3 linked regions of the Arabidopsis thaliana genome follow. The protein of the gene in region 2 interacts with the protein of the main gene of each other region in a pairwise test. Each region holds a gene or a part of one and is shown on either strand. Other genes may lie near its edges.

Region 1 (3,984 bases), on a different chromosome or scaffold from region 2:
CCAACCCAACCAAAATCTCAATCACTCATCATCAACTGACTATCATCAGATGGAACAACCGTTGTGGATCGATCCTGGCAAGACCAATTCTGCTGGTTCTAGTTCTTGTAAAGGAAAAGGAACATCCACGGTTGATCTACTGCAACTGTCATCACATCTTCAAAGAATCGAGCAACAGAGGAATTACACTGGTGATGTGAAGCAGGAATATAATGAGCTTTATTTCCCTGGCTCCTAATAAAAGGTTACAACATTCTTATTCCTTTAAACCGGTTCGAGTTTCTTGAGATTGTTCTGCAGAAGGACAAGACAAGCCTGCATGGCTTGATTAGTTTGTGATTAGATAGAGGAATTAAGAGGATCAGATCATGTTACACGTATTATTGTAATTTGTAACTGTTGTGTTATTATTCACCAGTCAATAATGTTCTGAAGAAAATTGCTTCAGATATCTATGCCTACTTCCTTTTCACAGCGTTACAGACAATTTGTATATATACATGTAATGAATATTCGCTGAAAAAGTGAATTTTTACTTTTGTTTTGTTTTGTTCTGTACACTCACGTCATCTGAGGACTGATCTGAGATTCTCGAGTTCGAAGTTACGATGTTGAAAGTTGCAAATCATTGGGGAAAAGAAAAAGTGTCCCAGATGGAATTAAGGAATACGCATATAAAATTTTGATAGGATTAAGACAAATAAAGACCAGACATAAACGTCCAAAGGGACATAGCAAGTGACGTTACTTTCAAATCTAAAGACAGACAGAAATATAAAGTCATAAAAACTAAGGCAACATCATTTTCTGCAACATGACATACATAAGAAAATTACACAGAAGAACAACACAAGATGAGAAAAACGACGCAGCCACTCGCACACGTGCATGCGTTTGTTATTTTTAGGCTTCTTTTCCCCTGAGTTTTGTTCACTTCTTCTCACCGAATCCCAAGCCCTAATTGAACAAAACATTTTAAATCTTTATATAATGTATATAAATATGTCCTTATGCAGACTTAGTTTGTATAGCTTACATGGATCATGTTGTGGCCTCCGGAAGTAATGGAAGTAGGAGAGTTGGGTATGTACTTAGCCCACTGTTTGTGACATTTTTCATTTACACAAACGAAATTGTGAAAAAATAATATTAAAGGTGACAACAATGGTTGGTAACAAAAAGAGACTTGTCTTACATTTTTGGCAGCAGCACTGAAAGCTTCACGGTGTGGTATTTCCGGATTGGCACTTTTGATGCGTTGGATCTCATCCCTTTTTATATTTTGTTTCAAAAAAAGATGAAGAAGAGTACTAAATTATATTTATTTTTTATGCATTAAATTTCATAATTAACTTGGAACTAAAGAGTATATGTCAAAGGTTAAACCTCATGAAGCGGTTGTATGCAGATGGGAGCCTCTGCTTCTTCTCAGGAGCTACAATACCAAAGATGTTCAACAGATAATCATATATATGTAGATAGTGATTAAGTTTATAGAAGAAAAAGGAGTCAGAAATGGTAATAAGCTTAATTACGTTTGACGACAAAGGGAGGTGAGGGAGATGGGGGCTGGTCGCTGGAGGTGGAGGAAGAGGAAGAAGAAGAGCTTCCCTTCTTATAGTCACTTCCACCAAAGCTCTGCATCTGCTTAGTTAAAACAAAGATTGGCTTAGTATCAGTTTTTTGTATAAAAAGAATTATACTCGTATGTATAACTATAACACAAGTGTTATATACCTGAAGGGTGAGGCTAACATGGCCTTGAAGAGGAGGAGTTGTGGTGAGAAACGAGAGGTTACCACAATGGCCGCATTTCACCGTTACCGTGTCAAGCATTCTCTTCAATGGTATCCCAACCTATATATGTGTGTAGATTCGGTTTACAAATTAGCTCGAAAATTTGAAGAAATATATATATATATAACATAAACAACAATATGTATAGCTTAGCATGTATGTGATATTATCAACATATATAGGGTCATGCAAGTATATATATGCTTATATATCTTCTTATATGTAGGTAATAATTTACCGCGAGGATGGTGTTGCAGATGCTACACCGGACGTAGTAGAGATGTTCGGCTTGAGGGGAAGCCCTTGAAGCCGTCATGGTTGGTTTCTCTTCTAGGTTCATGGTCTTTAGCGAATGGATTGAAAACCGCTCTTGAAAGAAAGAGAGAGAGAGAAAGAATCAGAAGAACTTTGTAGAGTTAGGGTTATGCTTATTTTATGAGTTAGGAGGCTTGTATTTATAGAACAATCATAGTGAGACCATGACATATATATATATAGAGAGAGAGAGAGAGCGATACAGATTGTCAAAGTGTTGGACGTGTATATGCAGTCCATAATTGCATTTTTATTGTTTATTTTAACAACATTTAATATCATCTTATCAAAAAAAAAAAAAATGAATATCTTAAACTAATGACTTCTGGTGTAGACACGAGTTTCTAATGGTGACATTATGTGTTTTCTTTTTTTTTTCGTTCTTTTTTTTTGTTAAAGACATTATGTGTTTTCGTTGGATATTTACTTGCTATATATTCTATTTTGTAATCACTGTAAATGTTTTAAAAGATAAAACAAATTGGATCAACAAGTTCGATGATATTAATCTACGTTTCCGCATAAAATTTCTCTGGATATAAAGAAGGAAAAAAAATGATATCATTAAGCTGGCTAGGGATTGCAAGAAAAATTACAAATGTATATTAAACTGATATTTAGAAAAAAGATAGAAGAATTTAATGTAAAAACAAACTTTTTAACAAAAGTAATTTTATGTCAAATCATATATATGAATTAAATTAAAGGGACCGGATCTAGGGGTTTATGACTTTTATCTATGTTGCTACTATTGCAGATGATATAGTACATGCCTCCCTCTGCAAAATCTTGCAGACGTATTTAATTTTGCTTCAAAAATATCAAGACCCTAAATGTCACTCCTCGTACATTAGTTTTTGCTAAAATAAGCTGTGTTGGACATTATTCAACCATGTCTTCGTATAAATATGATTTATAATTAACAATACACCTTAATCATGTGTAATAAAAATAATAACTATTAACTTATCCAAAATTACTCAAGAGAGTGAAAACAATCAATCCAATTAATACTTTCGTAGAATAAATATTTTCAAACAAGCATATACATATGGTGTAAGATACCATTGGTTTAAGATCGATATATCTATGTTTTCACTTTATATTCACTAGCCTCTACATCGTACAGATATTAATTATGACACATATGCGATGCAAAAAGACAAAAATAGATGACCAATTAAGATATTAAAATTATATATTAAACAATACATGGTGTGAATATGATTACATTTATTCAAGTTTGATGCCAGCAAGCCTTGACTTGCCCACATGTTATAAATTAAGAATGGTCCTTTCCTGATCTTTTGATCAGTTTTTTTTTTTTTTGTTTCTCTCATAAAATTTTCACGCAAAATGATTTCACTGCAAAACTGAGGACAAAACTTGTCATGATTCACAACTTTTTTCTTCATCGTGAAATTTTCACTCAATTGCATTAATAAGTTAAATATAAAAATCGTTTAACTGTAGAGAAACAACCAAAACAATGGATCTTCTTCAGAACATCCAACTATACATACATTGGACTCAAAAGCAGAATCTCTTGATTTGCCACTTATATTTATTTTTTTTGTTAAAGGATTTACTTTATGTTTAAGGATGTTTTCTACACTGCACTACAAATTTTCTGTTTGAGGTTATGAGGGTTAACATATATATAAAAGTTAAGTTCTCTATACTGCTGGATTCTGAGTTATGTATAATCATTTTGACATGAGACAAACTATTAGTCCAATCCATAAAAAGAGTGATAACTCATCAACATAGCTTTTTGGGAGCTATACACGCTTTATTGTTGAAATTTGAGACAGAACAAGCATATATATTTGTTGGCATACTAATTATAGAGAAGATGGATTAAGAAGTGTG
Region 2 (5,887 bases):
GTTTGGACCTTTTTGCACCCACTAAAATATCAGTATATAACTAAGTTAAATCTTTAAATTAGTAATTACGAATTGCTTGATGTTAAATTAAAGTGTTAATGAGTTTTTCAGAATTTAATTTAACATGATAAATAATAAAATAATCTAAATATTAAAGAGTTTATTAGAAAATAGGCATTTGTCTTGGTTATATATTTATTTTAAGGTATTTCCTTACATGATTTTCGAAAGAGGTACTTTTCTCTTGTGAAAAGTCATCCTTATCCTCCTCTCATTTGCATTATCTTTTACCCAATTGAAGCAATAAGTCGTGTCTGTTTCCTATATTCGATATTTGCATCACCAATTGAAGCAATAAATCGTGTGTGTTCCCTATATTCAATTGAAACAATGGCGATATATGCATCATCTTCTAAATCGCCACTCCTGCAAAGACAACAACTCGGATTTTCAAGAATCCAAGTTTTTATATGGAAAATCACTGAGAGAGAGATCATTGTGAGGGATTTAAACCGGTTTCATCATTTCAAGAATGGACTTGTGGTGATTACTGGTAATTTGAAAAAGACAGGTGAGACGATATTCAAAAACCGGTTTCAACTCATTGTTATTTGTGAACCGATTTATTCTTGGTATAGGAAGACTCTGGGTGGGAAAAGATTCCAACTTTGCTTACGAAGGTTAAGTCGCAACAAAGAAAGCTTCTTTATTTCCGCCATGGACACAGCCTATCGTAGTCATGTGGACAGAACTGAAATTCTCTAAAATCAGAACCGAAATTCCACAAAATCAGAACTAAAGTTCCATAAAATCTATAAATTTTTTCGATTGGGTTCCCTATATATTATCTTAGGGTTTAGTATTGTGTAATTAAAAAGAAAAATTAAGTTTGCTTGAAAAACAAAGAAGAAATCGATTTAATCAGATTTTGCAACTATGTTCGATAAAGAAGAAGAAGAAAGAAGACGATGAAGAAGAAGAGAAGGAAAAAAAGACAGGGACAAAATTGTCCCGATTGAAGCAATAAATCGACACTGTTGTATTCAACTGTGGAAAATACCTATTTTGAAATAACTTTATTTAAAATGCCTATTTTAAATATAAGCTCAATATTAAACACCTTGAACTTATGTGTATTTATTATTTGTGTGTACGGGAAGCAATACCAGAAAATGAAAATCTCTTTTATTTATTGACAATCCATAATCCTACAAATCCTCTAACTTCTAGACTTATGCCGTTATTAAATATTTTAATATATATATATACATATATATTTTTAATAATTATATTTAGGAACGTCTTTTAATTTATCTCCGAGGGTACACTTTTTTTCTTTATCTCTTTTGTTTTTATCTAAAAACAAACTTTTAGGATATTACCTCACGAAAAAAACAATAAATTATTCGTCTAGCACCATCGGAAAAAGACAAAAGACTTCGACTACCCCACTCAGTGGCACAATCCTGTAATTTCTACTAAACATTGATACCCTTTCTCGAATTCATCGTGTTCTTTGTTTTTAATAAGATGGTACTTTTTCCTCATTTTTCAATCTTTTTTTCACCAAGAAGCAGAGAAAAGAAACATTAAAGCAGAGAAAAAACAAAGACAAATAATCTCCATTTGCTTTCTTCTCCATCTTCTTCTAATTTTCTTCAAGTTTTATCAATGGCTGGTGTTACTGGAATCTTAAAGCTTGAAGCTTGGAGCATCTTGTGAAGAAGATTAACTAGTTTCTTGTATTTTTCTTTTCTGGGGTTTTGAGTTTTTTTTTCTCTTCCTTATTACCGGAAGTAATGGCATGTCGGAGTATGATCGCTTTTAGTTTAGATCCTGAAAGAAAACAAAGTGGAGGACTTAGGACAAAACAAGCTGGAAGAGGATCTTGCCGTGGAAGTTAGTCTTTGTTCAAATCCATTTTCCTCTTAAAGAATGTAATAATGGGTTTTTATTGATTGTTGTAGATTTGTTAAAAAGTTTTGTTTTTAGACCTAAAGTTTCGATTTTTTTCTTCTGGGCAGTTTGAAATTGCACTGTTGCAAGTGAAAAAGTTTGTTCTTGTTGGAGCTTAAAGAAGAGAGAAGAGAAAGAGAAAAGCTATGGGAGTTTTACTAAGAGAAGCTTTAAGGTCTATGTGTGTTAATAATCAATGGTCTTATGCTGTTTTCTGGAAAATTGGCTGTCAAAATTCTAGGTACCACTCTTATTCTCCTAATTCTAATAAAGTGTCAAACTTTATTCAGTCAAATATATTCAGTGTTTGTTAGTTTAAAGTTTGAGAATTTTTTGATAAGGGTTTAAAACTCAGATCTCGAGGATGACTAGAATTATTTATCTCTGTTTAATTCTTGGAGTTTTGTGTTTGGTTTGATCTTGTTTGTCTTAAAGAATCTTTCGATTTGTAGTTGTTTTGTCGACAATAACTATATCCTTATTATTTGTTTATGAATTGTCTAAAGAGTTCAAGTTCTTTAACTCTCTTGTCATTTCAATTTTTATTTCTTGTCTTTGTTCGTTTTGTCTTTGTTTAGCCCAAAATCTTTTGTAATCGTCTTTTTGTGGTATTCTAACTTAAACGATTGTTGCATATTTTTGTCATGTGTATTCTAATTTTTTTTTTTTGATGTGTTTTTTTTACTTGTTTTTGTGCAGCTTGTTGATTTGGGAGGAATGTTACAATGAAACCGAATCGAGCTCGAATCCTAGAAGACTTTGTGGACTTGGTGTTGATACACAAGGGAATGAGAAAGTTCAGTTGCTTACAAACCGAATGATGTTGAACAATCGAATCATTTTGGTAGGTGAAGGTCTAGTTGGCCGAGCTGCATTTACTGGACATCATCAATGGATTCTAGCTAACAGTTTTAACCGCGATGTTCATCCACCCGAGGTTATTAATGAGATGCTTCTCCAATTCTCTGCTGGTATTCAGGTTTGATACTTTCTTCATGTTTTGAACATCCTAAGTTAGGCTTCTTTAGTGTATATATATGTTCAAGCTCATAAGAACTGTTTGTGTGTGCTTATTTTGTTTGTTCTTCAGACTGTTGCAGTTTTTCCGGTTGTTCCTCACGGTGTTGTTCAGCTCGGTTCCTCTCTGCCTGTAAGTTCAAGTTACATTGTTATGTGAAGTGAGATTCTTGTTCTTGATTTAACTGTGAATTGTTTTTTGTGTGTTCAGATTATGGAGAACTTGGGGTTTGTGAATGACGTGAAGGGTCTTATCCTGCAGCTCGGATGTGTTCCGGGGGCTCTCTTATCTGAAAACTACAGAACATATGAACCTGCTGCTGATTTTATTGGAGTGCCAGTGTCTCGGATAATACCTTCTCAAGGACATAAGATCCTCCAATCTTCGGCTTTCGTAGCTGAAACTAGCAAACAACATTTCAACTCCACTGGATCATCAGATCATCAAATGGTTGAAGAATCTCCCTGTAATCTTGTGGATGAACATGAAGGAGGATGGCAAAGCACAACAGGATTTCTAACAGCTGGAGAAGTTGCAGTACCTTCAAATCCAGATGCGTGGCTGAATCAAAACTTCTCTTGTATGTCTAATGTGGATGCAGCAGAGCAGCAACAAATCCCATGTGAAGACATCAGTTCGAAACGCTCGCTTGGAAGCGACGACTTGTTTGATATGTTGGGTTTGGATGATAAGAACAAAGGTTGTGACAACAGTTGGGGAGTTTCACAGATGAGAACAGAAGTACTCACTAGAGAGTTATCCGACTTTCGGATCATTCAAGAAATGGACCCTGAGTTCGGTTCTTCGGGGTATGAACTTTCAGGAACAGATCATCTGTTAGATGCCGTGGTCTCGGGTGCTTGCTCCTCCACAAAGCAGATCTCAGACGAAACTTCCGAGTCCTGCAAAACCACCTTGACTAAAGTTAGTAATTCTTCGGTTACCACGCCGTCTCACAGTAGCCCTCAAGGTAGCCAGTTATTTGAGAAGAAACATGGGCAACCATTGGGGCCATCATCGGTCTACGGGTCTCAGATAAGTTCTTGGGTTGAACAAGCGCACAGCTTGAAGCGTGAGGGCAGTCCAAGGATGGTGAACAAGAATGAAACTGCAAAACCGGCTAATAACCGGAAAAGGCTTAAACCAGGAGAGAACCCAAGACCAAGGCCTAAAGATCGCCAAATGATCCAAGATCGTGTCAAAGAGCTGCGTGAAATAATACCAAACGGTGCAAAAGTAAGTGAAAAACTTATCTGTTCTTGGCAAATTAAACAATCCCTAAGAAAGGTTATTACTAACAAAGAGTACATGTGGTTTTTATTTAACAGTGTAGCATTGATGCACTCCTTGAACGTACAATCAAGCACATGCTCTTCTTGCAAAATGTCTCCAAGCATTCTGATAAGCTGAAGCAAACCGGGGAATCCAAGGTATAACATAAAACAATAATATTTTGGTGTCTCTCATGGATTCTTGATCTAACGTTTGTTGTATTGTTATAAGATTATGAAAGAGGACGGTGGAGGAGCAACATGGGCTTTCGAAGTAGGGTCAAAGTCTATGGTGTGTCCAATTGTCGTAGAAGATATAAACCCGCCTCGCATTTTCCAAGTCGAGGTAACATTTCTGCCTAAGGTTCTTAATAAAAAACACTCAAGATCTCGGTTTTGATCGAACGTTTTCTGGTTTTGTAACAGATGTTATGCGAGCAACGAGGATTCTTTCTAGAAATCGCAGATTGGATCAGAAGCTTAGGGTTAACGATCTTGAAGGGAGTCATCGAAACTCGAGTAGACAAGATTTGGGCTCGCTTCACTGTTGAGGTATATTATATAAGTTACACAAGGTTGTTTAACTTGGAAAGATGAGATTGTGTTAGAATGTATCTTATTTAAACTGAAACCGGGTCGATATTGGATTGTAGGCGAGTCGCGACGTGACGAGGATGGAAATATTCATGCAACTAGTGAATATTTTGGAGCAGACAATGAAATGTGGAGGAAACTCTAAGACTATTTTGGATGGTATCAAAGCTACAATGCCTTTACCGGTTACTGGTGGCTGTTCAATGTAATGACACAAATTATTGACCGTACCGGATTGCTCCGGTTTAATAAACCGGGCTGGTTAAAAGCTTGATTCATATAGAGGTTACGAGCGGACCGCTCTCAAGGATTTTAGGCTCGCTATGACTAACTAAAAAGTCAGTCTAAACCAGAGATGATGATTTTTAAGTGTGTTTTTTTTTCTCAACTTTATGTTTTGTACATTAGTTGCGAATTTTCATTTGTGTGGAATTTTTTAATTTTAATTCAGTTTTGGAGTTGTAAAAAATTTAGTTAAATTGTTTAAAATTATTCTCGACCAGTAAGAGTTCAAACAATTCACGGATTTCAAGACCGGTAAAAAGAACCGGTCCATCAACAGCTTTAACAGTACACAACAAAGCTTCACATGTTACAAGTACCTTTATGTTACTTTGATTAGTAACTCTATGTATATAATTAGCTTATTATTAAAAAAAAAAACACAAGAAGCTCTACTTTCAATAAAACACACTCTTTATTAAGAAACGTGAGGCCTATAGAAGAAAAGCTAATAATAGTTAGTTATAATACTTTTGTTAACAGCCTTATAATGTGCTATCATGTGAATTCATAATCTCTAATGGATGTCTTAATCCATTCCTAATATTTACATTTTCTTCATACTACTAATTAGTGGATCAAACTTAGTCCAACATCAAATTCTCAAAACTGCGTTTTTGTTTGTTGTCTCAAAAATGCTTTATTTACACTTTTGAGGTACCTAAACTTTGCTGCAAAAGGTGCATGAACATCTTTGTGTCTTGCTTTAGCCATCTCTCCACTCTATAGATTATGATGGGATAATCGACAGCACATTATGATTCAC
Region 3 (5,289 bases), on a different chromosome or scaffold from region 2:
GGTACGTATCAGCCTATGATCCCAAATCGCAAGACATTGATCGAAGCAACACCACAATCGTTTCAGGCAAGTAAGAGAAAACACTCATCAAAATTCACACAAATTCCTTTTTTCTAATTCCTCTACTTTGAATGCAGGAAGGATGGGCTGCAGCCAAGAAGGATATTAACACGTTGAAGTTCGAGTTAGAGACGGTGAAGACCAAGTACGTCGAGCTTCAGAACGAGATGGAAGTGATGCAACGACAGTTTGAGAAGACGGGGAAAGTGAAGAACACGCCATCTTCTTCGGCTTGGACCAGCGGTTGGAAGAAGCTAAGTAAACTGACTAAGATGAGTGGACAGGAGAGCCATGACATATCCTCTGGAGGAGAACAAGCTGGTGTTGATCATCCACCCCCCAGGAAACCAAGACGATGGAGGAACTCAATTTCATGAAGTGATAGTGATGGTTTTGTATCTTCTTGATTTTGATTCTTTGAAAAGAAAAAGCTTTTGTTTGTTCCTAATTTGTAATGTTTATTGGTTTCTAATATGGAATAAGTGACATAAACGATTCGATTTTTATCACAAACCAAAAAACGCCATTTGTTTATTACAAAACCATTTAACAATACAACAATAGAGACACAACAATACCAGTAGCATGTGGGTTGAAGCAAAAGACAAAGGAATAGTTTGCATTATTACAGACACTCAAATTAATTACATGAACATGACATCAATATTTCATAAAAATCATGGACCCATCTAGTCATCATATGGACAAAAGAGTGTGTGTGGGTCAGAGATATTTTATTACCTTAGGGGAGATTCATAGATCACGCGAGCTTGAGATGAGACTTTGAATATTTGCCTTTTGATTTCACCATCCACACTCAGCCAAAAAAGATAATCATTGTCCATCAATGACCATGACGACTTTGGCTTTTCATTCCACACAGAGAGAAGAAGAAAGTGACCTCTTTTCTTCTTTAACTTTTTGAAATTTGCAGTAGCATATATAATACTTAAAAGTAGTCCACTATATACAGCTAAAAAGCTGGTGCAGAGGATACGTACCCAAAAACCCACTTCACACGTTTTAACTCGTCAGAATCTTTCACGCCTTATCTGTCTGCAGATTTCTTGTTCCCCATGTTGTCTCTTTAAGCAACAAGATTGGTGACTTGTGAGTGGTGGAGCTTTGGTTCTTAACCTCTGTGGAGATTAAGTCTCGTTTCAGCAACTTTAGGTAATCAATTGCTTCGTCCAGAAGTAAGAGCGCTTCGTTTCCTTTTGCACCAGGGACTACGCTCTCGAGTATTTTCAGAGCTGTGCGGATCTTGTCTTTCTTCGACTGCTCGTTGCTCAGACCAGAACCAGTGTCCTCTTTGGTCGATATGGTTTTTGATTCAGGGAGCTTTTTGTCCTTAAGAAAGGAAGATCCATTGAGTTGTGTGGAGCTCTCAGTGCCCACAAGTGATGATAAGTCGCTGATGTTGTTGACCTTATCCAGTAGTTTCTGCCTTTTACAAGGACCATCGATTTCTTCTAATTCCCTTTTGTTGCAAACTCCTTCATTTGGATAAGGAGAGTGACCAGTGCTCATTACTTCATCATCACTCTCGCAATCATCATCATAATCATCATCTGAATATAGCAATGCATTGATCTCCTCAGTGTCTTCATGCATTTCTGACTCTGTTCCATCACTCTTGTGAAACTCTTCACCATCTTCTTTGAAAGCTTTCTCTATACCTTGTAACTCAGAGAGTTTCACTGGTTCTGCAGCCGCATGAGATGGAAACCGTAGAGGAAATGGACATTGTAATAGACGAGTCTGGTCTCCTGACTGATCGAATATCAAAAGTCTTTTCTGAGAAGACTCTAATGCTCCAAGTGGAGTAGTAGTAGTAGTAGCAGCAGCGCACCAAGACCGCATGTCAGACCGTGAGAATCTTTTTCCATAAGACTCCTTATCATGACTGCACAGCAAAGACTGGAATGGTGGTGGCTGCAAACAGCGAGCCTGAAGCTTAGCTGCATATAGTTTCCCAAGCTCAGGGAGAGGAATTCTAGGAAGGACAGACCGACCTACTATATCCTTGAAGCAAGCTTGAGGACTTAAGCCCAGAGGCAAATCCCGTTGCCTCTTATCCAGAGGCATGCTCTTAGCAGTTTAGCTCAAGGGAACTTCAAAAAGTACAACACTGCAGGACAAAACAGAGGCAAAAATCAGCTCAAGAAAGATAAAGTCAGTAATATCACAAGCGTAATTAGAGGGAAAAGAGCATACCGATTGTTAAGTTGCTCAACTGAGTGAATGCAATACTTCTTGTGTCCTTTTCGAGAAAATAGTAAAAGAAAGACGAACGAAAAACAATCACAGATTGAAAAATGCAGCGAAATGTCACCAACCAACTACGTGACTGGTTTGAGTAGAAGTCTGAAGTACTCAGCCTGAAACACAAAGAATAATCACAAAACCACAGTGTTAGAAGACTAGAACTATATAAGCTAAAAGTATGATAACAAGAGCATTATTGTCTGGTACAAACCTGGCAATTATCCATCGGTTGATAGCATTCAATAACTCTCACTACAATTGTTGATTCGTTAGCGTTTCCGGTCTCGTACTTCAATCCTCGAAATCTTGTCTTACCAGGTGATTGGCACACCATAACTTTGAGGAAATCTTGATTGAAGAAAGTAGACAGATACCAAAACCAAAAGGAGGAAAGTTTTGTTTGTGGAAGGAGAGTGAGCTTTTAGTCTAGCTGATTCTTTGTTCACAATGGTACACATAGAAATGTTGTGATCCCATTTTCAAAAGTGTTTATAATATACCGAAAAAGAAGGGAAGATGAATAAGAAAGAAAAGGATTTGACTCTTGAAGGTGTTGCTTCAAAGGTGAAACAATCTACAGTATCACACGGCAATACAGATTCAAGCTCAAAACTTTACGGTATACGGCAATACACATGCTGTTTTCTCTTTCTCTTCCTCTTATACACACTCTAATTGATTCTGATCACTCAAACCTACTTTAGTATCTGTGCAAAAAGTCGAAGGAAGAATCTCATCAGCACCAAAAATGAGCTAAATCCAGAGATCAAAAACAGTAAAGGACATAGATTTATAAACGTCTAGCAAGTGGGTGTATTCACAGCATCAATTCCAGCAAAATTACGCTACATTTTACTATTACAACTCAGAATATACACAAATCACAATGTTCTAAGCTAGATTCAGACATAAATTACAGAACTTTACCATTTCACAAACGACTCAAACCGTTTTTAACCACAGTCTCCAGATACACAAACAGAGAGAACAGTGACACAGACTATAAGAGAGAAAAATTGGATTTTGATTACCTTAGAAAGGAATGATCTTTCGGTCAGATCCAGAGAAAACGATGAGACTTTTTTGTTTTTTTTTGAGCTGAATCAATGGAAAAGCAAAGGGATAAGAGAGATGAAAGTGACCAACGAACAATAATGTCTAAACGGAGAATTTTTTTTTACGAAATATTTCTAAAGAGGTGAGTGGCAACAAGAGTAACAAGGCTTTATAAAAAGATTTTATGACGCTTTTGCCCTTTTCATTACTTTATTTTACCAATTCACATTCTCAATTTTTTCGGTTTTTTGTTTGTTCTATATATCGAAATTAATTTTCATTCTATATTTTTTTAAAAGAAAAAAACTAAGATACGCAAAAGGTAACATAATTTAAGTTGTACAATTTGAATTTTTAATTATTTAGAGGAAAAATATGTGTAACTTGGAAATTAATCTAGTAATTAAAAACGGTGGCAATGTTTATATTTGTGCTTTGCTTGAAAGAAATGGGACAAGGGGGCCGAACGTGTATATACGTAATTATGGTATATATGATGACAAAGTCTCACGGTCCATAATTTCAGGTTATACTTTATCATTAAATAATATTTTTCTAACCAATATAATTTTTTAATATATACTTAATTCGTTAAAGTAAAAGTTCATACGTTTTCTCTTATTTATTTTAAAAGCTAAGTTAGTGAAAGTGTGGTCGAGCTTTATTATATCCTTAATTATTTTCTAAATAAATACTATTTCAGGTTATAATCCCTCTTTAATTTTATTGAAAGCTAAGTTAGTGAAAGTGTGCTCAAGCTTTTTTTCATCCTTAATTATATTTTAATAGTACATTTGTTCAGGTGCGGTGTTGTGTGTGTTTCAAACACCCATTGTGACGGAAAAGAATAAAAGCTAACCACTCTTTTTAATTGTTTAATTTAAATTGACAATTTAGCATCTATCTAGCTTATACAACGCCAAAATTAGCTCAATACTTTTGTTTTATTTTTAAAAATATTATGTAGACTTTCATTTATGTTAAAAGTTATTATTCATAAAAGGACTTATGTGATTGGGGAATGTGGGTGAAAAGAAAAAGAAAAGTAAAAAGAATGAAAATGAAAATGGAGAAAAGAAAAAGAAAAAAGAAGCATAAGTGATGATTAAAGAATTGCACGGGAATTTTAAGTGCTTAATTACCCGCACGACTTCTCTCGCGTCTCTCTCTTTTTTCTTCCTTTCTTTTGTTAACTTATGTATCTTGTCTGAAAAAGTTTTTAACTTTAGTCTTTTTTCTTCCTTTGATTTGATATTAAGAACAGTAATTTATACTGTGTTTTGAATTAGAAGTGGTCAATTCAAATTTCATTATGGTTGAGACCATTTGCTTTGGGTCTGATATGTCATTAAGATTGAAGTTTTAGTTTGATTCTTTTGTGCTTTTTATTGGCATTTTGATTGAATAAACAAAACCATTTTAATCAAAATAAAAAAACGGGAATAATATCATAATATAGTACAAACATTCCAACTGAAACACGAGACGGGTCTTTTCTTTTATTTAGATAAAAACGTTGTCCAAGAGTTTTAGAAGAGCAATGACATCACAAAGTTTTGTTGCATAAAGATCCCAGAAGCAATAAACATAAAGGGTTGTTTAATAATCTACCCACAGTTTAGGAGCTGGGGAGATCATTACTGCACGCTCAGTACTTCGATTTCAAAGTCGAGAACAGAGTTTGGCTGGATCCCCCATGCCGGAAATCCACCAGCGCCATATGCGTAATCCGATGAGCACTGCAGAAGCAGATAAGATCGCAAGCCAAAGATGTTAAACATATAACGAAACACCCAAACTATCATGAAAGACAAAAGTGCTTCAACAGAGAGCCATAAAAGCATAGATGGCAAAGAGGAACATGATGAGAGAAGCAGAGTATACATACCCGCAAGCGAGCAACCT

What was found.
Region 1: the proteins of LHW (region 2) and CRC interact in a two-hybrid assay, tested with the Arabidopsis thaliana proteins (one large-scale study listed by BioGRID).
Region 3: the proteins of LHW (region 2) and SAC51 interact in a two-hybrid assay, tested with the Arabidopsis thaliana proteins (one large-scale study listed by BioGRID).

Annotation. Positions count from the first base shown.
Region 1 is NC_003070.9:26,006,804-26,010,787, forward strand, and holds CRC (Plant-specific transcription factor YABBY family protein), read right to left. Parts: upstream 2,339-3,984; 5' UTR 2,138-2,338; coding exon 2,036-2,137; intron 1,858-2,035; coding exon 1,738-1,857; intron 1,645-1,737; coding exon 1,536-1,644; intron 1,436-1,535; coding exon 1,387-1,435; intron 1,272-1,386; coding exon 1,196-1,271; intron 1,100-1,195; coding exon 1,037-1,099; intron 958-1,036; coding exon 931-957; 3' UTR 547-930; downstream 1-546. Other genes in the region: AT1G69170 (Squamosa promoter-binding protein-like (SBP domain) transcription factor family protein), read left to right, coding at 1-238. UniProt on the Arabidopsis thaliana protein: Transcription factor required for the initiation of nectary development. Also involved in suppressing early radial growth of the gynoecium, in promoting its later elongation and in fusion of its carpels by regulating both cell division and expansion.
Region 2 is NC_003071.7:11,648,793-11,654,679, forward strand, and holds LHW (transcription factor-like protein), read left to right. Parts: upstream 1-1,566; 5' UTR 1,567-1,937; intron 1,938-2,024; 5' UTR 2,025-2,102; coding exon 2,103-2,197; intron 2,198-2,655; coding exon 2,656-2,935; intron 2,936-3,046; coding exon 3,047-3,106; intron 3,107-3,184; coding exon 3,185-4,210; intron 4,211-4,302; coding exon 4,303-4,404; intron 4,405-4,477; coding exon 4,478-4,591; intron 4,592-4,671; coding exon 4,672-4,797; intron 4,798-4,898; coding exon 4,899-5,048; 3' UTR 5,049-5,351; downstream 5,352-5,887. Other genes in the region: AT2G27229 (Pentatricopeptide repeat (PPR) superfamily protein), read left to right, coding at 391-765. UniProt on the Arabidopsis thaliana protein: Transcription activator that regulates root development; promotes the production of stele cells in roots. Coordinately controls the number of all vascular cell types by regulating the size of the pool of cells from which they arise.
Region 3 is NC_003076.8:25,729,789-25,735,077, forward strand, and holds SAC51 (transcription factor SAC51), read right to left. Parts: upstream 3,526-5,289; 5' UTR 3,360-3,525; intron 3,036-3,359; 5' UTR 2,540-3,035; intron 2,442-2,539; 5' UTR 2,278-2,441; intron 2,192-2,277; 5' UTR 2,149-2,191; coding exon 1,102-2,148; 3' UTR 547-1,101; downstream 1-546. Other genes in the region: Phototropic-responsive NPH3 family protein, read left to right, coding at 1-66, 138-437; FKBP12 (FK506-binding protein 12), read right to left, coding at 5,022-5,123, 5,273-5,289.